Linked DNA regions of Mytilus edulis. The protein of the gene in region 1 purifies or fractionates together with the protein of each later gene. This does not show direct contact. Links are inferred from orthologs where the notes say so. Each region holds a gene or a part of one and is shown on either strand. Other genes may lie near its edges.

The links.
Region 2: the proteins of DIS3-like exonuclease 1 (region 1) and GRB10-interacting GYF protein 2-like purify together in Homo sapiens (affinity purification with mass spectrometry; 3 studies listed by BioGRID and IntAct, with this or other methods). This does not show direct contact. The link is inferred for Mytilus edulis from reciprocal best matches to the Homo sapiens genes DIS3L and GIGYF2.
Region 3: the proteins of DIS3-like exonuclease 1 (region 1) and M-phase phosphoprotein 6-like purify together in Homo sapiens (affinity purification with mass spectrometry; 3 studies listed by BioGRID and IntAct, with this or other methods). This does not show direct contact. The link is inferred for Mytilus edulis from reciprocal best matches to the Homo sapiens genes DIS3L and MPHOSPH6.
Region 4: the proteins of DIS3-like exonuclease 1 (region 1) and eukaryotic translation initiation factor 4E type 2-like purify together in Homo sapiens (affinity purification with mass spectrometry; 3 studies listed by BioGRID and IntAct, with this or other methods). This does not show direct contact. The link is inferred for Mytilus edulis from reciprocal best matches to the Homo sapiens genes DIS3L and EIF4E2.

The regions. Positions count from the first base shown.
Region 1 is NC_092344.1:93,297,075-93,304,814, forward strand, and holds the start of DIS3-like exonuclease 1, read left to right. Parts: upstream 1-4,726; 5' UTR 4,727-4,778; intron 4,779-6,157; 5' UTR 6,158-6,192; coding exon 6,193-6,355; intron 6,356-6,941; coding exon 6,942-7,075; intron 7,076-7,740. UniProt on the Homo sapiens protein: Catalytic component of the RNA exosome complex which has 3'->5' exoribonuclease activity and participates in a multitude of cellular RNA processing and degradation events.
Region 2 is NC_092356.1:18,049,389-18,056,505, forward strand, and holds the start of GRB10-interacting GYF protein 2-like, read right to left. Parts: upstream 3,019-7,117; 5' UTR 2,911-3,018; intron 1,548-2,910; 5' UTR 1,537-1,547; coding exon 1,505-1,536; intron 799-1,504; coding exon 573-798; intron 142-572; coding exon 30-141; intron 1-29. UniProt on the Homo sapiens protein: Key component of the 4EHP-GYF2 complex, a multiprotein complex that acts as a repressor of translation initiation. In the 4EHP-GYF2 complex, acts as a factor that bridges EIF4E2 to ZFP36/TTP, linking translation repression with mRNA decay.
Region 3 is NC_092348.1:50,101,064-50,108,178, forward strand, and holds the start of M-phase phosphoprotein 6-like, read left to right. Parts: upstream 1-4,115; 5' UTR 4,116-4,191; coding exon 4,192-4,248; intron 4,249-7,115. UniProt on the Homo sapiens protein: RNA-binding protein that associates with the RNA exosome complex. Involved in the 3'-processing of the 7S pre-RNA to the mature 5.8S rRNA and play a role in recruiting the RNA exosome complex to pre-rRNA; this function may include C1D.
Region 4 is NC_092346.1:52,327,117-52,334,714, forward strand, and holds the start of eukaryotic translation initiation factor 4E type 2-like, read left to right. Parts: upstream 1-4,589; 5' UTR 4,590-4,716; coding exon 4,717-4,736; intron 4,737-4,804; exon of another isoform or gene 4,805-4,926; coding exon of another isoform or gene 4,927-4,934; intron 4,935-7,207; coding exon 7,208-7,301; intron 7,302-7,598. Other genes in the region: mediator of RNA polymerase II transcription subunit 4-like, read right to left, coding at 4,522-4,589. UniProt on the Homo sapiens protein: Recognizes and binds the 7-methylguanosine-containing mRNA cap during an early step in the initiation. Acts as a repressor of translation initiation.

The DNA.
Region 1 (7,740 bases):
ACTTATCAATAACCGATTAAAGATTCCATGTTCACAGGCTTGTCATATAAAAAAAAAGTATGAATAGTGCTTGGAAAGAAGGAAAAACAATTTATTTGTAGGAAAATCATTGATTTAAATAACTGTCCAGCTCAAGTTTGAAAAAAAGAAGAGAAACCGATAGAAATTCATTTTTATGCCCCATTTATGGGCATTATGTTTTCTGATCTGTGCTTCCGTCTGTTCGTTCGTCCGTCCGTCTGTCCGTCCGTTCGTCCCACTTCAGGTTAAAGTTTTTGGTCGAGGTAGTTTTTGATGAAGTTGAAGTCCAATCAACTTGAAACTTAGTACACCTGTTCCTTATGATATGATCTTTCTAATTTTAATGCCAAATTAGAGGTTTTACCCCATTTTCACGGTCCAATGAACATAGAAAATGATAGTTCGGATGGGGCCTCCGTTTACTTAGGACACATTCTTGTTTTAACAAGAAAACGTTGACTGCTGTACCCCTATTTTTGATATTTTCACCTATCAATGTAGCACAATACAAAGATTTTTTTACGTCCAATCTCCAACCTTTAAAATGCTGTTACTTTCTAAAGACTGCATATAAATTAATAAAGGAGGTATATATATAGACAGAAAAAGGTTAATCGTTAAAAAGAAATGCAATATTTTTGTTATGCAATCAATATGTAATCAATTATTATACAATTAATGGCAAAATCTTGGTCAGTTTACTTGAATGAATTTAGCTCTATCATCTCTATAACTATTCAGGAAATTTTAACGAAATCTTAATCAAAACAACAGGAGCTACAAAAGGGTGTTTCAAATTATGGCTAAAATATTCCATTCTCTCATAAATCTCTAATTAGTGTAATCATCCTTACCACATAAAAGTAGATAATATTTGATTAGGTGTAAAATGTGATCTATACATTCTATCCAAAATCTGAGACACTCTTTTTTAGATAATGGCTCTAGGAACAACATATGATAAAATCAACCCTCCCGGGATATCCATGAAGAAGCTAATTTCAATTGAAAGTGGAAATTTCTTGTAACATTTTGTAGACACAGTTAACATTATAATTGATTACATAATTGTTGTATAATACTAACAAATGCATTAATTTGAAAGACTAATCTGTTAGCTATTCATAAATACCACTTTTATAAATTTCCAACCATTATAAAGAAAGTTACAGCATTTTAAAACTGGTGAATTGGAGGTATAAAATCTGTGTATTGTGCTACCTTAATTATGTCTGTTTGTTTTGTTCACACATCGTTGACAACATAGTGGAATGGAATGCGACTATCATACAAACGAGAGGTTTAGCTAGATATAAAATCAGGTTTAATCCACCATTTTCTACTTAAGAAAATGCCTGTACTAAGTCAGGAATATGACAGTTGTTGTCTATTCGATTGATGTGTTTGATCTTTTGATTTTGACATTTGAACATGGACTTTCCGTTTTGAATTTTTCGTGTTCAGAGTTCAGTATTTTTATTATTTTACTTATTACTTTTAAATGAATACTCGATGTAAATATGATTTGAGCTCGCTATTCGCAACTTTGAGTGATAGCCCACTTAAATTTAAAAGTCCGATCACGAGTTATAAAAATGAAGAAACGTCTAAGTTTTCGATTATAACCCTTGCCTCATATACACAAAAGATTCATTTAAAGTCTGGTATGAATATAACAGTACAAAATAGTAAGCTCTGTATCCTCAAGATTTATTTTTAAACAGGCATACATATAATAAACACAGGGCAGACATAAAAAAACAGAAAGCACAGCAAGCATAACTTAATGATCTATACTGTAATAAAAGCACAGCAAGCATAAGATTATGATCTATACTGTTATGAAAGCACGGTAAATCATAAACAAATCAAAGCATACAAAAGCAAACATAAAATGGAAATGAATTTATAAAGGTTCTTCTGCTCATGTTGACATATCTGTCAACCTTATCCAGCTGGTAATTTTCTGATATAAAGTTTTGATTATCCTATTATAGATTTCAAGATAATACGCAAAAAATACAAACAAAATTATCATAAAAGGACAATAACTCCATTGATGAGTCGACGGATGACTTCGGCTATAAAATTATGGCTTAATTATTTGTGGATCCTGTCTTGCTGATCATTTGTCTTATTCAATGTTTCTATCTATCTAATACAGTTTTCAAGATAATAGGCAAAAATTAGAAAATCATTTTTAAAGGTCAATAATTCAAATAGAGAAACGACTATCAATTGGGGTCATGTTGACTTATCTACAGATCTATTACTGCTGATAATTTTTGCTATTTAAAGTATTTATCTATTTGATATTGTTTTTAAGATATTATGCAAAAACACAAAACAAAAAATGTGTAAAGTCGTCATTATAGGACAATCCTCTAATAAGGAGTGACTTATATATTTTGGCCGTGTTGAATTATTTGTAAGTCTTGTCTTGCTGATCATTTTTGTTTTTCAAAGTGCCTGTCTATATCGATCTATTGCAATTTTCGAGATAATAGCCAAAAAAAAATAAAACAAATTCATCATCTAAAGGCGATACTTCCTACAACATGACAAGAATTCGTCTGACAGTTTTGACACAAATAAATAGAATGTAGAGCCCAACGTTCTAAACATTTATGACCTCTTCAGATTTTCTCTATTCATATCTGTTTTCAAAAAAATAAGCAAGATAAATTGCATTTTATCCCTGTTGTTCTATTTTTAGCCATGTCGGCCATCTTGATTATCTGTCGGCGACATCGGACAAATCGACCATATGATGATTGTGGCCAAGTTTGGTTTAACTTGGCCTATAGCAGTTCGATTTTTGTAAAAGTGACGGAGGACGACGGACGACGGAAGACGACGGACGACAGACGACGGACGCCAAGTAATGAGAATTTAAGCTGACAGGTGAGCTAATAATGTTGTGCTACTTTGCATCTTCTCCGATAGCCCTGAACAAGGGGCTTAACATGCAAAGTTCATTAACACTTTTAGATATAAAAAAAAATCTTTTAAATATGAGAACTGTCTATAATTTCGGTACTGACATGATTGAACAAACTTCAGTGGCGGATCCAGCCATTTTAAAAAGGGGGGTAGGGGGGTTCCCAACCCAGAGTAAAGGAGGGGTTCCAACTATATGCTCCCATTCAAATGCATTGATCGTCCAAAAAAGAGGGGTTCCAACCCCCGGACACCCCCCTCCCCCTGGATCCGCCAATGAACTTTACTAAAATTGTCCGTTTATAAATTTTGAAATTCTTAAGAAATTAAGGTTTCAAATCCCTCAGGCAAAGTTTGCTTTAGATGAATTGGCTATTTATTTTAGGTAATTTTGACATATAGCTCTTCAACGGTTTCGTTACTTGTACATCTTCGGATTTCAAATGTTTGACTTTGAGCGTTTCTGATGAAGGTAAATCCAGAAAAGCGCTTCGGACGCAAGAAATTATTAAGCGTGTTGCTTTCATTTTTTTTTTTTTTTTTCATTATCACACCTACATAAGGGACCGGTCATTATTTATCTCCAGGGGGAGGGGGCGGCAAAATGTAATTAAATTTGAAAGGATAAAATATGATTGCCCCTTTTCAAAATGTGTTAAAAAAGTTAAACCCTCCTCTCTTTACTACATATGCACCATCTCGTCAAACTCAACACTAATTGGAGTTTAAGTTGTTTACTAGTATTTGATTATGATTTTGTCATTTACAGTTTTAAAGAGTAAAAATTTGAACTTTGTTTGATATACTGAGCATTACTTTTAATTGTATTCATATAGAATGTCAGATGTCTTATTCAAAATTAGAGATGCTGAAATCAGGAACATATATATACTGTTCCCAGCTGAAATGAAGCCAGTCCTGGTCTTTCAATAATTTCTTGTATAAATTAAGTGATTCATTTCAAAACTGTTGCCTTCCACTCTGGTAGAAGACGGAGGGTCTTCGACAATGAACAAATCATTCATATATTTATTTATATTCTACATGAGGTATATTTGAGATACGGAATAAGAATAAGAAGAAAATGCTTTGAAAAAGTCTATATAGAATATTTTGTGTTCACCTAAAACAACAGTTTGTAAAATATACGAGTTCATCTTGAAACATAAAAATGGGGTCCCCTTCAAAAAAGCAAAGTCTATGTTTGCTGTGGTGAAACCAGGATTATGAAACCAATTTTGTAGTCTCTATTCCTAGTTTCTTAGTCCTATAACATCTCAGAAAAATATAAGAAAATTGACTAATTTTGCACATTTTTTGGCAATATTTATTAGTCACTTGACAATATAACTAGCTCCGTCAAAGAGTAAAGTAAAATAGTAAAGTAAAGTGACTAGTTTTACTGATAGTGACAGTTTGACATTTGTGAAAGAGTTAAACTAGACAAGTTAGCTCTAAAGGGCCCAAACAACTATTCATTAATAGTCTATGGTCATGGTATATGGCGATCAATGCATATATGGCCAAACAAATTATGACCCCCCCCCCCCCCCTTACTTGAGCAACCTGAAAAAGAATGACCCCCCTTTATCAGATCTAATTTTCTCATTACCCACTACTTTTTTGCCGCCCCACTGAAGATAAATAATTACTGGTCCCTAATATCAATTTCATGATTAAATACCACTTTGGTTTCTTCGAATAGAGTGCTCCCGTGAAGGAGTAAACATCCGCGCAACAAATCTTGTATTAACAAAACAAAACTGACATTTCTGTCCCCTATGCACAAAATGTACCCCAAAGTTTTTTTTTTTAAAGTGAGTATAGTCATATTGCATATGCATTGTAGTATTAACCAGAAGGAGGAGGTTAAACAACTAAAGTGAACTATTTGATTCTTTAGTTTCAGGTTCAAGACAAAAGCACAGGCACTTGTTTCATGTGATGGTAAAGACCCTCTTTACTTTTGGCCCTTTAAAATCTTAAGAAAACAAACAAGTGCCAGTACTTAAAAGTAACCATATCTGAAATTATATGCTTCACAAATTGATACGCCTATATTATACTATCATCTAACTTGCTATGGTTAAACTGAAAAGAAGGAGATGTTCACGAGATGATTGCCTCTGGCTCTGAGACAACTATCCACCAGAGTCCACATGAACTGTAGATCACTGTACATGTACATGTGTGCTGCCATACAACCTCCATTTTTATCAAAAGCTCTAAGCATATCATAAGACATGTACATGTAAGACAAGGAAACCAAATGCCCAATTATTGACAAGACAACAATAAAGAAAAACAGATACATCAAGTCTCATACAGTTAGCGTAAGACTCACAAATGTGACTCACATGTTTTCATACATATTTGACAGCATTTTCCTTTGATCTATTGTTTTAAGGTAAAAATTGCATAATATGGGACTGACTTGATATCTAAATGTTCCAAAATTGATCACTTTTTCAGTCTTCACGATGAACTGCTAAATCTACAGGCCCTGGGCTGCCACTCAGCGTGAAGACTGCTTTTTTTGATACATGTACACAAAATATAGTGCATTAACCATAACATTCTATAAATACTATAAATCATGAACATTTCCAGAAATTTATCCACGAGATATATGCTCAGATATTCAAGACACAAAATGATGTTTCACTTGTCAAGAAAATTACATAACGTTTGCAAGGTGCAGGAATCTAAAATCTGTTCTAAAAATATAAATTATGTCATTGTTAACATCATCTTTAAAAATTGGAGTCATCTTCCTTTGTCTAGAATAGCTGTTTTAAATCAACAACAACCAATGCAATATTTATTTTTACTTCCCACTGATAAATTAAAGCAATCTTTACGGTTCAGTGCTTTGAAGCAATTTGATTTCTCTATTTTTCATGCTTTTTTCACATTTCTTGAGCAGTGTGAGAAAAATATTTCTCCTCACTAGTGAAATATCTGTTCTCTGCAATTGATTGGTCATTACATAACTTAATTGTGACATCAAATTTTCTTGGTTTCTTCGATTTTGAATTATCCTTTTGTCACATCATGAAATAATTCAATGTTCAAGGGTATTTTGAAATAAAAGATTATCTCAGCTAACAATGATTATCCTGAACAAATGAATTTCAGGTCAACAAGATAGTTCTAAATAATAAAAGGTTTTTCATATTTTATTTTTGTTCTTCAGGATAAAGTTAATTTGATAATGTAGACAGCCTAAAAATGGTCATAGAAAATAAAGCAGAGTCTCTAGATAAAGACAATCGTTATTTGAGGTTGAAGAACAGCCAGGGGAAGAGTGTCAGTATTGTAAGAGAAGTCTATAGGAGAGAAAATATACCATGTCAGAGTAGTTTATGTCTTGGAAATTGCAATGTGGGAATAGGTGAGATTTTAAATAAATGGTAAACAAATCAAAGGTATTGATGAGGGAGATGAAAATATCTTACATATATGTAAATCTTTTCAGACAAACTGTGATTATAAAAATAAAATGAGATTGTGGTTTTGTATGTTGCTTCTTTATTGCCTGATAAGATTTATTAGTACACATGTACCACTATTGTGTCTTACAGCTAAAATGAAGGGTTTTTTTGTCTCTACTTTTCATTATTTTAATTGAATTGCATAATCTTGGATAAAGTTTTGCATGGTGAATACTGAAAATTGATTGATACTTTTGCTGTTTCATATTGTATTGTCTTAAGCATATATATATATATATAGTTGCTTTACATGTCATGCATGTAGTCATATTCTGCATAGAATTTTTTTTATATTTATGTTACACTTTAAAAAATCTCTGTAGATATTATTTTATTGGGAAATGGCAATGCAGCCTGGTATGGTCTTCAAACAGATTTAAGTACCTAAAACTTAAAAGAATTTGATACTTGATTAAAACCTATAATCATATTTAGTTTAATATTAATCATGCTATTAATGTAAACAAAACTGGGAACTCTTTGCAGATGACTCTGATTTGCTACCTTCAAACGTGACACACTATATAATCCCAGATTGTCAAGTTGCCAGAGAATACCTTGAAGTTTTTGAAGCACCAGAAATTCATGGAATAATCTTTACACAGACAGCTGAACACTGTGTAAGTTTAGAAATATTTTTTGAAAATAATTGAACTTTGACAATTCTTTAGCATTTGTTTGAAATAAATGGTAATCAATGTTTAAGCTCTTTGTTTACAAACGCTCTTTTTCTCATACTGTAATTTATTTTATACTGTAACTATGTTATTTGTGCAGTTTTTTTGTTTGACTATACAAGCATCATTGATATACTTTCATTGATCATATAAATAAAATTGAGAATGGAAATGGGGAATGTGTCAAAGAGACAACAACCCGACCAAATAAAAAACAACAGCAGAGGGTCACCAACAGGTCTTCAATGTAGCGAGAAACTCCCGCACCCGGAGGCGTCCTTCAGCTGGCCCCTAAACAAATATATACTAGTCCAGTGATAATGAACGCCATACTAATTTCCAAATTGTACAAAGACTTGTTTGTGAAATTGCATTTGTTTCAATACACATTTATGACATTCAAGGAATTCAGATTTACAGATTTTGTACCTTTTTTGTCCAAAAATATTCTTCTGATCAATCTTATACTTTGTATAAAATGGACTTCCAATATCTTTATCTGTCTTGAATTTTGATTGTGATGTTTGATTGTTGTTTCATTGACTTTTACCCAAAATCTCCTTAAAAACACCTACCTTGTCTTGGGTATTACTTTCATTATTACACAT
Region 2 (7,117 bases), on another chromosome or scaffold:
AGTAAACATTAAGTTGATAAAATTTTTACCTCGTCCTCTGCCTCTCTCTATACCGCCTCTTCCACCCCTGACTCCAGGAGGCCCCCCTCGTCCAAACATTCTTAGTACTGCAGTACTGTTAACAGACTGAGACATTAACCGCTGAAAAAAAGCAATAAATAAACGGCTTAAAACTATTGCCTGTAATTTAAAAAAAAATCAAAGAAAGAAGCATAATGAATTTTGTAATTTGTTTAATTTACAAATTGAAGAAAATGGCAGTGACAGTCTTCATGATAAACTTTTGCAGACACAGGTCCAACACAAATTTTTTGATTCAATAAGTCTGTATTAATACTTTTTACGTATGGGAAAGTAATTTTATAAGCCTTAGATGGAGGGACTGTGTATAAGTGTGATAAAATATTTCTGGCATTTATTCTGAAATGATAATTTATTGTCATGATATTATGGATGTGAATTTTGACACAAACAGATTAGCTTTGTAAACACTATAGAGATATTTTTTTCCTCAAAACATGGAAACAAATATAAATAAGATTGAAATGATGCTACAGCAAAAAAATATGTACCTGCTCTTCCTCTGATAGAGACTGCATGGTGATGGGCTCCTGTGGCTTTTCGACATATATATATGTGAATTTCTTTATTTCTTCTAGGGGCTCTGTGTGGTTTGGATTGTTGAGGGCTAGCATTTCTTCTTTGCCATAACGGTAATCTGCTAGCTTGTACTTTCCAATAATTCCCGGTGAAGGGGGCGGAGTGCCAGGATTGTTTCCATCTGATAGGGCTCTGAGCCTGGATTAGGGAAAGGTTAACAACTTGTACATTAAATGTATTTTCATCAAAATGCATTTTTACAAGATATACAAATAGTGGACATTTTGCAAAATGCAAAAACTGCCCCCCCCCCTTTTAAAGTAACGTTTTAGTTCTTCCTGGTACCTTTTTCCATTTCAAACCCAAGGGAAAAAAATGGTTTTGGTAAAAAAAATATATGAATATATGAAAATTATTGTAATTGTATTGCTTCAACCATGATGTTCTTGTTCCTGTCTATATTAAAATTTCTGAAAAATGTAAGTTTACTAGCTGAACTTAAAATTGTTATTTCATCTTTTTGGGTCACTTGGTTACCATTACCATGGTTACTGTCTAAATGATGTATATGCATTCTCAAATATGGTTCTATGTTTAGAGCTATCTCTTGCAGATATTACATGTACAACTACTCAGCTAGCCTAATTATTCAATCTTTCTTCTGGAAATTAGAAATGAAAAAACAAACTGAAAAAAATTGTTTATTGTCTTTTTTTTATCAAAATGTTTTAATTACAGTAATGTGATTCGAATTCATGTCTCAGAAATTTAAGACTTAAAATTTCAGACAGATTGTGGCTTACAGTGCAGCTCCTTTCTAAAACAATTTCCTGACATGTAAAGTGCAAAACCTTTTTTTGTTAAACATATATATAAAAATAATAAAGTAAGATTTTTTACTTACCACTCAGGACCAAAATTCAATGTATCTGCCATTTCTATTTAACCTACAAAATATATATGAAAAAAAACATTTAAACTACAAATGTTTTGGACAATACCCTTGCAATTATGTAGCCTGGCATATGTGCAATAGGGTGCCTCATAGATAAAACATAGGATAAAAACATCCAATTTTAAAATGGAAAACAACCTCCTCAAAAGTCAAATGAAGACAAAAATATTTTGAGCCAGAGCAACCTCCTTAGCCATGCTGAATTTTAGAATGTCTGTTGGAAGCAAAAAAAAAACAAAATTCATCAGTTAATATTAAAATTGATCTAAAAAAGTTATTGTATTTTTAATACTGAAGATCCATTTTTCATTCTTAATGTTAAATTTGTGCCACTGAAGAACTGGAACATGACTTTATCTGAGTCACAATTTTGGTTGTTTTCAGTTACATCAATTCATTTGTAATTCCTGTCATGCAATTTTCTTATGATTGACAATTTGTGAAAGTTTTTATTTGTTTTCAGTAGTTTAACTGTTTAATGCTTGCTAACAAATATACAATTTTGTGCTCCATAACTAAATTACATTTTTCTTGTAAGGAAGGCAGGGGCAAATCTAGCTGCGGAACCATAGCTTGAAGGTCCGCAGACAGTCAAAAAATAAAAAAGGACCTAAGTGTTCAGTTACGCAGCTAGGGCTAACCCAGTGGTTTTTAAAGAGGGATTACCAAAATCATTGGATCCCCCCTTCCAGTGGAAGCTAGTGGGTTAGTTCCAGGAATAATCTGGAAGAAATCGTTTTTTGACAATGACACATAAATTATCGCAACTGTTTGCGGACTCGTAGGAACCCTTTTAGGTTTTTGATGGTAGTGTATACACCTTATCTCTAATCCCGGCTGACCCAATCGCTTGAACTTTTGACGCATACAACAATCACTTTTCCATTATGGCTTCAGATATTTTGTTTTATGACGTCAAAATTTTACGGGAACCTGTGTGATATCCAGCAATGGCGGACAAATAGCGATAAGGTGTATTGCATTTGGGACAAGTTTGATCTGTTTACTTATAAGGCGATGGAATGGACAGTATGGGAAATTTATGAATAAACACATGTGGTGTTCCATTTTACATGGCCTGGAGTTGTAGAAGAAGAGTCCAATATATAACATTTATACATATCAGAGCGTTACAAGAAGTTTCGTTATCCGTGTTTCTAAAAATAGCTACACGAATAACAGAAAAAACATATTTTCCACATTTTTTACCATCCTCGCGATTTTAGCAGACAGTCACAGTTCATGAGAATTTGCAATTAAAATACGTCATTTTAGAGGTGACAAAGGCCTCGATTTGGTGTAAATATGTGTACCACAGATGCTTGTGCGTCTAAACCAGTGCACTGCAAGTTTACCTTTGCTATTTTCTAACTTTCTTATTAGCTTGAACACGAATGCAGTAACCAATATGGCCGTAGTTGTGTATTATGTACCACGTGATAATTGTAAAACGGAAATCGAAGTAACGCATGAAAGTCAATGAAGCGGAAAAACTGTGTCACCACAATGGTCGCACTTGTTTTATATCAAATGGAATACGCCAAAACACTTGTTAAGAGTGTGCTTGGTCAGTTACTGCGTTATATTTTTACAATTACTTGGTATCTTCCATCCGTTTCGTGTAGTTTCAAACAAGTTGTTTTCGTGTTTTCCTGTATAAGACCTCAATAGCGGTTATTGAAACAAAATGTCCTGTCCTTGTGTAGAAATATCCAGAGTGACATTTATACATTACTTTTTAATATGTCTTTGATTCATCGCGGTTTACGTGGAAAACTAAAATCATCGCGTTTTTCATAGATCCAAGTTTGAAGTTGTGCATCTATGTTAATTTTAAACTGGACAGATACAAAATTCTTTACGGTTTATTTTTCTTCGCCTTGTACAATAACCATGCGCATTCTTTAAAAGTAGGATATACATATGTATCATAAAAATGACCTGACAGTGTCAGTGTTGATTATATTGAAAATATAACAAGTGGCATTTTATGTAATAAAACCACGATTGACCGATATGGCTCATTCTTTTAGGTGATCACCAAATTAACCAACTGGGCCCTTCTTATATACCGTCCGAGTATGAGGGTGTGGATGGGGTTAAAAGAATCGACAATAATGGACAAAAGTGTTGAAGTAGTTAACAAATTGAATACGATAGTCACCCTCAATCTCAGATAATGAACAATGAGCGCATAAGCTATCTTCCCTAATCAGGGGTACTAAGGGATCATTTATTTCCCCTTTTTTGTAGCGCCTCGGCTTCTATACGAAGTTGGGGGCACTAAATCTAACTGTTTGGTTATAATATTACACTGTCTAAAATCCAAGATCATTAAATAGGATACTTTTCGAAAGCTAGTTTTTAATCTATAAAATAGAATAATATACAAGAACCCGATTCTTTTTGGTTTTAAGAGTCAATTTTTTTTTTGCCAATCTCTCTCAGGAATTTTGTAGCATAGTTATACTAGTATTCTAAACGTTTCCTTGCCGCAATTTAAAAAAAAAATGCCCTGTATATATACCTTTAGCTTATACAAGCACTTGCGCAGAAGTATACCATAAACATATATCTTTTATCCTGTTTTAAAAGTTTATATTCTGCATTAATGCTGACTCAAACAACCTGCTTGGTTTTGCGTCACAAACTAAGGGAGAAAAAACCTGCCAATAGCATCTTGTCAATTGCAGAGGATTTTAAATACCATCTTGTTCCTAGAAATTGTAGCAGCACAGTCATAGCACAATTTATAAGAAAAAAAACATCTGATAGAATCACGTTATATCAATATGTCAATAAACAACCACGACGTCCTGGGGAACACTGTTTAAAATTAAGTTGCTTTGTATTCTTAGCTACTAAGCTACTGAATTATACTTATTACCGATTTGAAATTACATTAACATGACGGGTACAGCATGTGAAGATCTCCTTAAACTTCCGGGATCAACACCGGTTTTTGGCGGCCTAAGTGTTGCTCTAAATTGTTTATGACTATGTTGTATTTTGTATACTATTGTTTGTCTTTTTGGTCGTTTTATCTTTTCTTTTGCAGAGGCGGATTTAGGGGGGGGAGCAGTGGGCCCGCCCCCCCCTTTTTGGGGAAAAAATAGGTTGCTTATATAGGGAATCACTGAAGCGTGACTGGAGCGGGCCCCCTCTTAGGTCAGTCAGTGGGCCCCCACTTATGAAAATTTCTGGATCCGCCACTGTTTTGCCATTGCGTTATAAGTTTAGTTTCAACTTCAGAGTTTGAATATCCCTTTAGTACTCTTTGCCTCTTTGTCTTTTGTTGTGTTGTTTGTTTTTCTTTTGGTCATGGTGCTGTCGTCTTCCTTCGGCTTACGGTTCATGGTTTTCCCATTGTTATAACGTTGCAATTCTTGTTTTCAGCAGTTTGATCATAACAGTGATGGAATGAGAAAAACAATCCCGTACGCGTCTTGCAATAACTCGATGAGGTAATTATCACTGAATAATTCAGAAATTGGTGATTATGTAGAGCGCATCTATCCCATAGAACTGGAGAATAGAGATAAAGAATACAACAGATGCAGTTAGTCTACCTCATAAATTGACTTACATCTAGAAATTTCAAAACCATCAAGTTCGGTTGAACACACAACTGTGCGATAAAAGAGATGATGTCAGCTTCCCAATTGTGAACTTTCCATTTCTATATAGTAACGTTCCAGCAGTCTGCATACGCAGTACAATGTATATATCTATCTCTCAATTGATACGATATTTCCGGGCTTGTATTTGCTATCCTGATTTCCTTGATAGAGGGTGGCTGCTTACAAGACAGCTATTAAACCAAAAGTTCCAAATGGTGAAGTTGAAATCACCCTTTGTAAATTTTGCTTCGCCATCGCGAAATGCATGGTTGACCGTTATTGAATATCCGTTTCACAGATGATATCGGATATGTTCCTGATGGCGTAACTACAATCCTGTTCCCTTTTCACGAATGTGACCTACCGAAAAAGATGTTTAACAGAGTTTGTAATAACATGTCTAAGCAATTCTACGGGTGCCACATTTGGAGCAGGATCTGCTTACCCTTCTGGGGAACCTGAGATCACCCCTAGTTTTTGGTGGGGTTCGTGATGTCATTAGTTTTCTATGTTGTGTCTTGTGTCTTGTGTCCTTTTATTTGTCTGTTGGTCTTTTTCTATTTTGGCCATGTCGTTTTTAGTTTATTTTCGATCTATGAGTTTGAAAGTGCCTCTGGTATATTTCGCCCCTCTTTGATAACATTTTATAATACAGATAGTGTTTGTTACGTTTTCTTTTAAAAAAAAACACCACATTTATGAGAATAGCGTAAAATTTATTAATTACAAAATTTTATATCTGCAAAGTCTGTATTAAAATACAAAAGTTTATAATTTTTATGTTTTTTGTTTTTATTTGTGGGTTTGATAAAACTAATAATACTTACGTGAAACAGAATACTTTATTTTAAAACTTCACTGTGATTTTAGCTGGGATTAATACATAAATCTAATGGTCCAAGGTATTAAGTATACATGTATTTCCTTAGCATTATTTTTGGTTTAATAGTAAAAACAATACTTAAAAATAATGTTTATATCCCAAGCATTTTTAATAATTCATGCCAATCAAAAGGTAAGTTCTCCTCCGCTCTGTGAAAGTTGAAATCTGGGACCGTTGCGTTAGAACAAAAACAGTAAAAATAGTTTATTTTACTAAAAAATAAAAAAAAAAAATAAAAAAAGTAAACATTTTTTTAAATTTGAATAGCAAACAGTTTGTTCTTGGGGACAAATACTCAGATCCTTAAAGCGTCAATGAAATTTGCACAATTGCTCTGTCTTTGTGAGCGCGGTTTTCTGTGATAATTATGACAATCTTTTTTTTTTATACTTTTATCTAAAAAATATAAAAACAAGTATCGTATGATGATTGTCAATGAGACAAACTCCAACAAAAGACCAATCGACGTATCTAAAAAAAAATGCATCTCAAATGCATTTTAGGCAAATCAATTGCTAATTTAACCATTAATCAGGCAGTCATTTCTGTAGAAAGCAGTTATTTCATTATCTGACCAATTGACTTTTAAAAAATTGTGTATCAAAATGCATATATGGTAATTAATTATTAATTACTCAAATAATCAGACAGTCTGTCCAGCAGAAACAGTTATATTTCATTTTGGACGTCTACTCTCGCCATCACATTTCAACACTTATACCTTTTGGAATAATAAGTACTAATGGCTTAATTGCAATAAAAACAAATTTCTAAATTAAGTAAGTACAGGTATTAAATTCTAAAAGACGTGTATATTACAATTAGCGATAAAAGCTCTCCATGTGATGACAGTAATATAGGTATTAATTGACAAGTATATAGACGTCCGTTGTTTGTAATGAAGCCACGCCCGGTTAATTCTCCTGGGGTGAAACGGTGGCAATACTCACAAGGCAGGTATATTTATACAGCAATTTACAGGTAAAGCCATAAATCACGACCACACGTGCCATAAGTCGGAAATAATAAAAATTGAGCAAATTGGTTTCATTTTGTGCC
Region 3 (7,115 bases), on another chromosome or scaffold:
GACCTGTTTAATTACGAATGTAACAATAATTATTGAGGCTACGGTTACATTGCGTTATTGTTACATGAAAAAAAGCAATGTACGATGGGACTAGTAATATGTACTAAATAATAAAAGTTAAGGACATTTATTACATACATTTATAACATACAATTTATTTACTGTAATTTTTTATTTACAATGACAATTTCTACAAATCCAGTAAGTTGTTTTTAAAGTCCGACACATTTTTGATGAACGAAATTACGTCCTCCACGGATACGTGTACATACAGAATTTCTTAGTATTTAAGTTACAGTTAGCAAACTTTGCTTTTGATTTTCAATTTGCGTCAAGTTATAAAGCTGTATGAAATGTATGTCTTGATATTGTTTCAGTTTCATTTAAAACGCATCCCAAGTTTTATTTTTTTTTCACCATAAACAAAATTGGTCCAAAGTATAATGACAGTAATAAGAGTAGGTGTGCAGTTAAATACCTTAAAAAAAAAAGTGAAACCATTGAACTATATTTTTCGCCTTTGACAGTCACACTCCTAATCTTGAGTAGTACCTTAACAGTGGCGGATCCAGGGGGGGGTTCCGGGGGTGCGCACCCCCCCTTTATTTTTGCCGATCAATGCATTTGTATCGGGACATATGTTTTGCACCCCTTGCACCCCCCCCCCTTTGCCCTGGGTTAGCACCCCCCTTTCGAAAATTCCTGCATCCGCCCCTGCTTAAGAACATCAAAACCATTAATACGTAGTAAAACTATTCAAGTTGTACACCATTTGTTGAATAATAATATTTTATTATTTATCAGTATTAAAGTACAAGTATTGTTTAGTACATAATTATGAAAGAATTAAGCAATACAACTATAGAAGATTTAAGTTTGATCAATCTAGCGTACATTGCTGTTTTTCATGTAACAATATTAATAACGTAATGTAACCGTAGCCTCAGTAATTATTGTTACATTTGTAATTAATCGGTTCCTCACCCAACTTTGCATTCCGGCAATTAGTCTCCAATGTAACAATATTATTTTTATTATTGTTACATTTCATGTAACCGTAGTCAGTGCCTTTTATAATTGGCACTGCCTGGCTATTGTTACATTGATATGTAGCCTCAACAATAAAAAAAAAAGTTATTGTTATATTGGGGACTGATTGCTGGAATGCAGGGCTGAATAATTACAAATGTAACAATAATATTTGTGTCTGCGGTTACATTGTGTTATTGTTGCGTTCATGCACTTCAATGTATGCTGGGACTAACTACGTTTTGAATAAAACTAAAGAACCTATACTAGTATTTAAATTGTAATACAATTTGCATCCAATTTTTTTTATTTACAAATGATAACAAATTTTCAACATGAAAAAAAATTGGTCTTATAGCATAAGCAAAAAAACTGACTACAGCGGAATTACATCACTAAAGCAGAAAGGGGAACTTGTAACAGACACAAAACAGAAATCTGATGAACTCAACAGGCAGTTTCAATCAGTTTTCTCAGAACCAAACAAAAACACTGCTATCGTGAATTTGAAAACAATCAGTACATGCAAGGATTTGTATAGTAAGAACCTTCTTACTATACAAATCCTTGGTACATGCAACAGAAAACAGCTTACCCTGCCTTGCAAAACATCAATATGTAACCATCCAAGGTATCTCCAAAATACCTTTTAATTTAAATCCATCAAAATCAAGTGGACCAGACAAACATAAGCCACGTCTCCCTCCTGGGGGAGTTAGCACGCAAAAATACAAGGAAAATGGCTTTTCATCCTGACAAGTGTAATGTTATGTCCATCAGGCGAAATAAAATAAATTCGCATACAATTCACTGTACTCATTATACATTCAATCAGACCTATAACGACATAGTCACATAAACACCACCTGTAACAAGACAAACAGTTCACTAGATTTTCTCAGAAAAAAATCATATAACTTCAATTCCACCTAAGTAAAGGAACAGCCAGCATATAAATCTCTAGTCAGACTATCACTAGAATATGCCTGTTCAGTCTGGGATCATTACTTTACTGAGGATATAAATGAAATAGAAAAAGTACAAAGAAAGGCTATTAGATTTGTCACTAACCGACACAGAAACACCTCACGCGTTAGTGACCTGATAGATCACTTAAAATGGAGAAACCTCGCACACAGAAGAACAGATGCACGCCTGGTCTTGTTTTGTAAAATCACTTAACATCTCATTGCAATCACAAAAATATACAGACTAATTCAACCGCTCAGACAGTCCCAGAATATGCCAGCTCGAATATGCATACACTCTCATACCAAATTCCATCCTGCAGAACACAAATACGCCAACAATCGTTTTTCCACATACAATCACAAACTGGAACAGCCTTTCTCTGAGTATTGTGATGAGATTTCAGTAGTAGTGGTTTTAGTAATATCAGAGGATAATTTGTTCGTCTTTAATGGTTTGAAAGAATAAAGAAAATAGAATGGTCATTAAAGATGGCATACTTCGATGTTAATTTTGATTTTCTCATAGGGTCTTTGCATCGGAAATAAACAGTTAGAAATAAGATTTTGTCTTGGATGCATGATTCTGTTTATTAGTTGTTATTGACTTTGAACTAACTGTCAGTAACTCAGTGCAAGTACTCTCAGATCGATCTGGTAATTCCTTTAGTGTCTTTTTGTTGTTAGGATGAATAAGTACCCGGTCACGTCCACCATATATGTGTTTTTGTTAGGTATATTTCTTTTGGTATCCATCTGATGAGTTGAGCCTTTTCAATGATTTTTATAGTACGCTCTTATGATATTCTGTTACACCAGTGTCACAGGTTAGGGGAGGAACAAAATCCTGCTAACATAAGTTTAACTCCACCACATGTTGTATGTATGTGTCTGTCCCAAGTCAAGTCAAGCGCCTGTAACTCAGTGGCTGTCGTTTATTGCTGTGTTACATATTTGTTTTTCGTTTAGTTTTTTTTTGTATATTAATCTATTATTTCTGTACGATTTGGCCCGGTCTCTTGTTGAGAGATGTCTCATTGGCAATCATACCACATCTTCTTTTATATACACTTTATTCCAAAGTTTGGAATAGACTATAAACGTATCACATAGTTAACTCAGACTGAAAACTTGCCGAGGGAAGCATGGTGACATATTTTCATAAAAGATAGTTGAAACTGAAAGAAAAATATTTAGACTGACTACAGGATTTAAAAAAAAAGATAAATTAGAAATATTAAAGAATGGAGAAAGACAGACCAAGGACGTATATTAGATTATTATTATTGTAAGTTATATATATACGTCCTTGGACAGACTATTAAAAAAAATTATAGCGTCTTTGTTTAAATTGCTCACATGGTAAAGTTGAGGATGAGCTTCATTTTTTATCGGAATGCCCTATCAAAAGACAATATTTTGGTTTAATATATTTCTAAAATGTATTATAATTTTAAAAACTTTAATAAGTCCTCCAAATTTTGAATGCTCATGACACAAGAAAATATATCTCAGGCTTATGGAAAAAAAGTGGGCTGATCGATATATTGGAGAGCCTGAGTGTTTTGAATAAAGGAGATCAGGTACTAAGTTGGTTAATAATTTGAGAATTAATGATTGTAATGTAATTTTATTATTTTATTGTGTACTTGTATTCATAATATAGATAGTCGTTGGCTCTCAGATTCTGACCATGCTAATATTCTAAATACACTGCATTTACATGTATACTGTGATGTTTATTTTCACTTGTAAATCAATTATGTCAAGCTGATTCTATGCCTTTTATTGAACCTGTAATTTGGGAAATAAAGATATTCTTTTTTAATCTATTCTATTCTGAAACCAGTTGTTTGCATGATACGGGTTATTAAAAGTCAGTAATTTAATATCAGAACTTGATTTTTGCAGCGCTGGCAACACATTCGTTGAACCATTTCCAGAAGTTTTACTGTATCCCGTTATGTGCTCAATAACTCCCACGCCTCATCTTGCAACCAATTTTAATCACAGCCAACAAAAAAACCACTGCCTACAAAAAGACTGATATTTGCGAAACTTCACGGTGAATGGACCGAAGTTTTTAAGGACCGAGATAACGTCCCAGTTTCGGCCACATGTCTTCATCAACTTCCGGTTCTAAAAGACGCACATCGCCACATGTGAAGGCTGAAAGGGAAAAGCATAAACAGCCATGGCAGGGGGGTCAGGACAAAGGGGTAACTTGTCTAAGAATGTCTTGCAAATGAAGGTAACACAATTGTCCTTTTTTAGTACTATACTTACATAGCAAGCATTTGTGCCGTGATACCATAGTTTTAACTTTTAAACAGGTTGGGACCCCCTCCCCCCCTCTCCTACAAAAGAAGAAAGATCGAAATACCTCTTAAAAGAGAGATTGTCCTTAGACAAGGGCCTATATTGCTGTTGTAGAAATGACTAAAGAAAAACCTATCCCTTTTTCAGTGTTCTAGGATTTTTTTGGCACCTTGACTTACCACGGGTAAGATCAATAAAAAAAGGCACTGGCTACGGTTACATGGAAATGTAACAATAATAAAAATATTATTGTTACATTGGAGACTAAATGCCGGAATGCATGGTTGGGTAAGGACCTGTTTAATTACGAATGTAACAATAATTATTGAGGCTACGGTTACATTGCGTTATTGTTACATGGGGGAAAAAAACAATGTACGATGGGACTAGTAATTTGTACTAAATAATAAAAGTTGAGGACATTTATTACATACATTTATAACATACAATTTATTTACTGTAATTTTTTATTTACAATGACAATTTCTACAAATTCAGTAAGTTGTTTTTAAAGTCCGACACATTATTGATGAACGAAATTACGTCCTCCACGGATACATACAGAATTTCTTAGTATTTAAGTTACAGTTAGCAAACTTTGCTTTTGATTATCAATTTGCGTCAAGTTATAAAGCTGTATGAAATGTATGTCTTGATATTCAGTTTCAGTTTCGTTTAAAACGCATCCCAAGTTTTATTTTTTTCACCATAAACAAAATTGGTCCAAAGTATAATGACAGTAATAAGAGTAGGTATGCAGTTAAATACTTTAAAAAAGTGAAACCATTGAACTATATTTTTCACCTTTGACAGTCACACTCCTATAATCTTGAGTAGTATCTTTAAGAACATCAAAACCATTAATACGTAGTAAAACTATTCAAGTTGTACACCATTTGTTGAATAATAATATTTTATTATTTATCAGTATTAAATTACAAGTATTGTTTTGTACATATGAAAGAATGAAGCAATAACGTAACAACTATAGAAGATTTAAGTTTAATCAATCTAGCGTACATTTCTGTTTTTCATGTAACAATAACGTAATGTAACCGTAGCCTCAGTAATTATTGTTACATTTGTAATTAATCGGTTCCTCACCCAACTTTGCATTCCGGCAATTAGTCTCCAATGTAACAATAATATTTTTATTATTGTTACATTTCCATGTAACCGTAGCCAGTGCCATAAAAAAATTACTTACCCACATCTAAAAGTTAAATCCGCCAACCAATGCGGACGGCGCAAAAAAAACGATTTCTTACTAAATTTGACAAATATGTTATAGTTATTACTATGTCATTTATTAAGAGCTATAATAAATGCAACTGTAAGTTTATTTTCCTCCGATGACAAGAAAAAAAATTGTTTATGTCCCGATTTAAGCACCAGTTATCAATCCGGATTTTCCGATTTTACCGACACCGTGACCGACTTTTAGAATGATAGGAGAAGAATGTGGTCTCTTTTGCGCTTGATTACACCTAGTAAACGAGTGCTTGAATAAAAGCGCCGATAGACATCGACAAAATCTTCGATCTTTTATCAAAGTTTTTTCTCGTGATTTAATAAAAATAAAAAGCAGATATGGGAAAATTGAAGAGGACCGGGAAATTTCAAGAGTTTTTCAGCTTCCCCGAACTTGAAAATTGACTTACCACCGGGTGACAAAGGCTAAAAAATGACTTACCCGTTGTCCTAATCCACTTACCCCGGGTAACGGGTAATGGGAATCCTAGAACACTGCTTTTTACTTAAAAAGAATTAAGTGGAAATTTTTAAAAAAATGGGAGTACCAGGTTTGTATAGAACAGAACAGAACATATTTTATTTCCAATTAAGGGCCCATAGGGGCATACAGAGCATACATGAATAAGGAAAAAGAATATTGATTTGCATAGATACATAGATACAAACATTTTTTTTACATATACATGTAGTTACAATACAATACACCTTATCGCTATTTGTCCGCCATTGCTGGATATCACACAGGTTCCCGTAAAATTTAAGAGGGTCAGGATTGGGGGGGGGGGGGGGGGGGGGGGGGGGGGGGGGTCTGTTATTCTGTAAACATTTAATTTTCACCCCTTTTTTCTCTAATCTTCATTTTTTTTGCCCGTTATTCTCTAATCTTCATTTTTTAAGGGCATTATTCTGTAATCATTTAACCCCATCCAAACCCTTATATTAAGGTATTTTATGAGTCGAGTGTTTGCAGTTCACAGTAATAATTATATTTCTCTTATTTATAGAGTTGCAGAGTTTACATTAGCCAAGTACATGTACTATCAAATTCTTACTACTGACTACTTACTGTCAATTATTTCAAATATGGTTGATTACATAGGGAATCACTGAAGCGCCCTTTTATACCTGTCAACCAAGTAATTTTAATGAAATTGACAAATTAATTCCAATTTATATTATAAGTAACAAGAATGTGTCCCCAGTACACGAATGCCCCACTCGCACTATCATTTTCTATGTCAGTGGACCGTGAAATTGGGGTAAACCCTCTAATTTGGCATTAAAATTTAAAAGATCATATCATAGGGAACATGTATACTAAGTTTAAAGTCGATTGGACTTCAACTTCATCAAAAACTACCTTGACCAAAAACTTTAACCTGAAGCGGGACAGACGAACGAACGGACGGACAGACGGACGAACGGACGCACAGACCAGAAAACATAATGCCCCTCTACTATCGTAGGTGGGGCATAAAAATGCATGACTGTATCTTAAAACTAAATAATTATATCCAAAGTTTATGATTAAAATAATTTATCTTG
Region 4 (7,598 bases), on another chromosome or scaffold:
GAACAAAAGCCTATGACTATGTCACTATGTCTATTGTTTTAAAAGTACAATTTACACAACGTAACGTTATATTTATTCCTGTTCTTTCACTTTCTAATTGTTGACGTCAACTTCCGCCCAGCAATTGTTTTTATAGTTTTGAAGTGGGAAGCTGTTTCATGTACACGTTGCAGAATAAGAAGATTAATAGGTTAATTTGTTTCATCTATACTATTAAACGAGAAGACCTCATTTTTGGTGTCGCTTCTCCTCCTTTCACAATAAATTAATCATCATGCCTCTGTGTCCTATAGGTAACATGTATAGTCGCATTTGTCATCCATTGTTATGATCATTAAGTTTGGGTTATTTGGGATAAAAAACGAAAAAGAATGCGTCCGGATATTTTCCCGTCATTGAACAAATCTTTAAGTCAGATTAGACTTCCGTTTTGTGTTTTTCTGTACTTCGAACATACAAAGACTATGAAATAAAGTATATGTATTTGCTTTCTGCTATCATTTTGAGTACTAGCATGTATCATCCTTGCTTAACGTGTTTCGGTTTGGGTTATATTGGGAGGAAAACGAAAATGAATAATATTTGCTATTTACTATCAATTAGTTTACAGTGGCGGATCCAGAACTTTTCATAAGGGAGGGGGCGCTGACTGACATAAAAGGGGGGGGCGTTACTCTCATGCTTCCCCATATAATTAACAATTTTTTTCCAACGAAAGGGGGGCAGGGCCCCCCATCCCCCCTCCCCCTGGGATCCGCCTATGGTTTACTATCAACGGCGGTCACTGCGGATATATTTCTATATACTTACATACATTTACTATAAATTACTGTATTTGTTATAATTTACTATAAATTCCAATGGTTATCTTGTGGGGGGGGGACTCTTTACTATTCATGGCGTTCACTGATGTATATAAGTACCTTTGACTTTTGATACCTCTCCTGAAATTCTCTGTATTGAGTAATTAAAGTATATATATATGCATGTTCATAGAGTACAGAAAAACAGAAGGTATAAAAATCGGTATTTGGAAAATAGGAGGAGGGCAAAAAAATGTGCCCAGTCCCTAAGTACATTTGAATTTTGATACCTCTCCTGAAATTCTCCAGTCAGTATATTTTTTTTACAGTTTACATACGCTCTATTTCCCCGCGATTTCGCGGGTGTGTTCTAGTATTTTATAAAAGGTAAACAGCATATATTTTACACACTATTTTACTGATCTCCGCATCAGGTTCTAAATATATACTTTGCCCTATTTATAGATCGTAGTTTCCCATTTCAAATATAGCGCAATCGGCAATTCAAACACATACACGTTGGTTGTTCATTGGTTATTATTTATTCACGTATTATTGTGTGAATAAACTGTGTTGTATATTTATTATGTATTGATAATAAAGTATTGTATTGTTACATGTTGTTTGCATAAAAACGTAACTGCCGTGTAAAGTTGTGGTAATTGTTTAATGAGACAAATACTTGTTGTGAACCCCATGTAAGATTTTACCCGCTCGGACCCAATTGATTTATAAATAAGGAAGTTCACAACAAATGCATGTCGTTCTATAACCTGGTCGTTTCGTACCTGGTCGATTCGTAACTACGTTGATTTGTAACTGAGATGTTTTGTACCTGGTGTGGTTATAAAGTGTTAGTTTAAATTAATTAATTTAAGGTGGTACCTAACACTAAAGGGAGATAACTCTGTAAAATCAGCAGAACGTTTTAATGACGTTGCGTTCATATGGGAATATTAAGCTTCTCATTGATCAAAATAAGTGTTTGTCAAACTGCTATATAACCAGTGTAATTTTTCTGATTAAACGGTTGGTTCAAATTTTTTGAATTTCTTATATTTTTGTCAAAGGGTCAAAGTAAACACTTTGTCAAAATTTAAAGAAAATTAAACGAGCCAAATTAATTTTAGTTAAAGTGTTAGGTACCTCCTTAAATGAAACAGTTAAAGTTATTATTTATAAATGATCAAATTGTTCATCCAATAATAACAATATTGTAATGTTTTTAATTTAAAACTTTCTTAAATCTTTTAAATTATTGGTTAATTGGTACGCTCAGTGACAGCTTTAATGTTTTTATGACAACTAATGACAGTTAATAAAAAGTAATTATGGTACGTGTAAAGTGATTAAGTTGATTAATGACACATGACCTATGGCACACGACCTAAAAATAATTATTTTCTACTTTTTTCTCACTTTAACATGCCAATGCATAACCCTCCTCCTTTTTCACCCAGACTTGGGACCGGCGTTGACGGAGTTAAAGTTTTTATTTGATTTTTTTATAACTCTTATTTTACTCTATTCCTTTTACTTTCTCTCAGAGACATCACTATGTTGTTCTTTGATTGCATGTTATACTGGCATAAAGCCTTATTTTTCATCTGAAAAACCCTGGTATAAACATGAAACAAGTCTTAGTTGACCAGAGCAGCAGCAGCAGTTGGTCCATATACAAAAAACAAGAAACATGAAAGAAACAACTTATGATAGAAAAAAAAATATTAATATAAGAAAGTCGGCAACATAAAGATGAGTGGTGTAAGTATTGGAGACATCAAAGCACGTGGCAGAAGACTAAATACTTTGACAAAGACGGGGTACATCTAAATGATGGACAATTTAAATTCTTCTGTTCTATCGCATGTGTGCAAAACTGTAATTGTAAAGTGTAAAATTATGTGCAATCAATTATTTAATAAATAAATATAGATATATATGTACATCAATAGGTCTTTTCATTATTTTTTTAGTAACCTACGACTCATATTATTATATATTTGTAGGACTCTAAAGTGCGATGGTACTCTAAAGTACGATGGTCACGCTAAAGTGCGATGGTCTACGCTAAAGTGCATTGGTGTCAGACGCTAAAGTGCAATGGTTGTTTGTTTTTAAATGAGATCAGATGACATGCTAAAGTGCGATGGTATGCCACGCTAAAGTGCGATGGTGTAACTGGAATGGTGTTCAGGCAATGTCTTTTGTTTTTTGCGGTGTTAATATTAGTTTTTGTATATTGTTTATAAATTATGCCGTTGTTTTTCTCTTTTGAATTGTTGTACACGAGTTATTGTGTGGTTTATATAACTAGCTATTCGACTAGAGCCGATACTCCACGCCTTGGATCATAAGTTATTAAGTGCGCACATCTGCAACATTTTGTGTTTGGTGAATAATTGTTTCATTGGCATCTTCTTATTTGTTTTTTTGTTTGTTAATTGATTTTTTTCTGTATAAATCAGTCCGTTATTTTTCTCATATCAATTATTTTGCAATGGTCGTTCTGAAAACCTTTAGTCATAAATCTACTATTTATCTGCTGGGTTAGCCATACGATTCCAGTTTAGATCTAGACTTGTGTCATCGGCAATCATATGATGATACTTCATAACTGCTTGGTATGTCACTATCTTGTTGATGAATATCCATCTCTTTCACAGACATGACAATACATATTGTACAAAAATATTCAGGTTATAGAATAACTCAATTAGAAATTTAAAAAGTAGCTTTTATTCCAAGCAAGTTCGATTATAAACATAGAAGGAGTTTCTAAATTAAATTTGAACGAATTGAAATACTTTGACACTTGGTGTATTTTGACTTTTTCTCTCTTTTACGGTAAGCACCTTCCCCTTACTGTCATCAGTTTTCTATGTTGATGGGAAAACACAGCGAGTTGAAAGGTTTTGTACGGTGGGTGATTTTGTTGGAAAAAAATCCTCTGCATACAGTCTTCTATATCACCTACTAAAAGTGTTTTGTTTCATTTATATCTCTTTTTTTTTGTCTTGTAAAAAACCTTCATAGGGAGCCACAAATATTCTTGTTTACCGGCATGTCAATTTTTGTATGTTCAAATTGGCTTCAAGCGTCATAATGCAAACATTCACACTTTCGCGAACAAACACGCATTCATGGAAAAATGCACTTTATCGTGTCATGGCATCGCACTTTAGCGTACACCATCGTACTTTAGCGTGACCATCGCACTTAAGCGTCCCCATCGCACTTTAGAGTCCTACATATTGATATAACAGTTTTCTTAGGTTACAAAACATCACAGGTACTAAACAACCTAGTAAGTTAGGAATCGACTAGTTACGAAACCGTCAAAGAAAAAAAATATAATAGCCTTTCAAGACGTCATAATTATTAGGACTACAAAACGACCTGCATCCTTCACAACATCTGATTAGTAAATAAAATAATTAAATGTCTACAGTATGTGGTAAAATCAAGGATTTATATAATAAAGATCAGCAATATCCTTGTTAAAATTGGTAACCCTTTCACTTTTTCCCCTCCACTTTTATTGTTTTAATATAATTAGTGCAGACAGAAAAGACAATAACAGTCATGGCAGTTTTCCAGGTTTCACAAGTTGGGTAGGAAAAAAAACTAAAGTTGTCATTTTTATATGGTCTAGACCATGCATTTCATTTGGTGTTTCAAATATGTGAAATGACAGTAATACTATTAGTGAAATTACTTAGATATCAACTCAACATCATCAATTTGTTGTAAAAGTTTTTGTTTGGTGCTGATGGAGGAAGCCATGCTGAATTATTCGACCAATAAATTATGCTGATAGAGTAGGAAACATTTATGAACCAATCGAATACACTTTCACATACAAGAAAAGGAAACCGGAAGTGAATGTCAATAAAATCAAAACAAACTCATCATGAACAACAAATTTGATGCGTACGTAAAACATGCATACATTCATAATTGACCAATTATATTTAAAGATCTTTAAGTAAATCGCATGACACCTAGCCAATCCATTGACACATTTTTCCGTAGGGTCAATTTTTGTTCGGCAAAAGGCATAATTTTGACGTCATCAATTTGCCCAAACACGTGCAACTTATGAATAGTCACCAAGTCCAAGATGAACAGGTTACATTTATTAGCGAAACTAATGAAAACTGCAATTATTATTTTTCTTTAAGGTATCATAAAATCCGACCATGGTACTTTTGTTTCTTCGTGTGTATAATTTAAAAAAAAAAAGTCAACTTTGAATCAAAAATATGTGTCAACAGCTGTTTAGACCAGACCTAGACTTTACAGTATCCTGATAAGCTAGCACTGTACATTTACATTACTGTTACAATGAATGAAATTGTAGGACAGCCTTTCAAGCTGAGATAAATCCAGTGCTTTGTCAGACATGTACAATGTACAACAAGCCCAAGTTTGTCGAAGTAAGGCGTCAAATAAAAATAATATAATAGCCTTTCAAGACGTCATAATTATTTGGACTAAAGTTTTGCATGATACATTGTGTCATTAATTATGCCTGTGTCACCATAAAGTGCATTTCAGAATTAATGTTGTGTGTTTCATGTCGCGATGAATATTTTAGAAAACATTTTAAAAATTTTGAGATGTCATATCTGTCACTATGACATTGTATGACAACACATCGTTTGTATTCAATTTCAGATGAATTATACATATATAATATGCTATAAGTATAATTATTCAAGTAGTACAAGTTTGAAATAATTCTTTTGTTTATAGCTTGAAAACTTTCTTTGTCATACATGTATATACAAATGAAGCATACATAGAGTGGGGTGCTCGTTTTCGCCGGGGACACAATTTCGCCGTTTAATGATTTTGAGGTGTAAAAACTTCAAAGGATGGCTGAAATGGAAGAAATGTACCCGTAAATTATATTTTTATAACAAATATAATATTTTTTTAAACTGAGACAAAATTGCGGCTCCTACCGAAAATGACCGAAAAACGGACAACGATTTTCGGACAATTTATATTTCCTGAATAAAACACGATTTCAAAGAAGTATTTCTAAGTAAATATTTGACTGAATGCCCTAATTTTGAATTCTTTATACCTTTGAAATGTCTGCTGTTCATCTATAATGCAATTGATTTGATAAAAATTGTTAAAAGCTGCGGTTATTTGGTTTTAAATAGATGTGTAAAAACGGCGAATATGTGTCCCCCATTGACAAAACATCCGGAAATTTCAAACACCCTTTAATCTAACTTTTCAGATGATTTTTTAAAAACAAACCGGTTTTCAACATGTTCAAGCTTAAGTTTATTTTGCATTTGAAGTTATCTGCATATAGAAATATCAGTATACTTCAAAAACATTTAGACCTGAACATAAACTGTAGAAAACATGGAAAGATGTGGCGAAAATGAGCACCCCACTCTATATGTCTTTAGAACATGTAGAATGGTCTGTCGACAAAGGACATCTATAGATAACATATTTCCCTAGTGCAGCAAAAGTGTTAATGAAATAAATTTAACTTATCTAAATAATTTAGAGATGCGGAGTAGATAGCAATTAGACCGCAACCTAGCGACAAAAATAATCAACACCTAGAGATCTCTGTACAGTGATCAACCATAGCATTAATAGCCCAATGCCAAGTTTTTATTTTTTAAGCTGTGAATAAATTTATAAAAAGAAACTATCAAAGATATGCCATCAAAACAAATTGTTATAATATATACGAGACTTATAATGGTTTACTTTTTTTTAATTGTTATTTGGATGGAGAGTTGTCTCATTGGCACTCACACCACATGTACATCTTCCTATATCTACTAAGAAAAAAAACACAAATATTTTACATAGGACAATCACATTCTCAATTATGGGCTTTAACATTGATATGTGGTGAGTCAATCTTGTATTTTTTGGAATAACACCAGTTAATGGATCTTACATTTTTGTCAGTGGGTGAATACACCTTATCGCTTATCCCGGCTGACCCGGCCGCTTGAACTTTTGACGCATACAACAATCACTTTTCCATTGTGGCGTCAGATATTTTGTTTTTGTGACGTCAAAAATTTACGGGAACCTGTGTGATATCCAGTAATGGCGGACAAATAGCGATAAGGTGTATAATTACACTAACAATTTCAACTCCAACTTACTACATGTATCATTATAAAGAGGCTGAGCATGTCAAGTACAAATGTATAAAGGATGAGTGTAGATATATATATCAACAGCAGGCTTATTTATTTCTGAATGCACTTTTGTCAATTTTGTTACAGTCTTTTGTTGAGATGTATTGTAGTTATGCCATATTTGTGTTTAGAAACTGATTTTGAAATACATAGTAAAAGTATGATACATGAGTGGTGGCTTTCCATTTTGACTTAATTTGTTTATTGTAGATTAAAACAAGAGGATAGCGGTGAGGATGATCAAACAGAACAGAAAAATGAACAAGAAGAAACAGATTCTCCATTTAAAGTTCGACCTTCACCAGTAAGTCTTCAAAAGATAGTTTATGACAACGATTGGAATGTTACCATGGTTACATTTTGACAATTTGATAAAATTTATATTTTATAAAGAGAGACAAATCAGATTATGGTCTCTTCTTAAAAAAAAATGTCCAGCTAAACAACATTAGTAAATTGTTTTAAACAAACAAACAAAAACTCAATTGAACAGAAAGAAATTTTTTGACTTTTTTTTTTAAATGATTTGTGTCATAATTTTTTTTTTATCCAGTTTCAGTACATTTTATTAAGTATATGTATGCATAGTTGATGTAAGATG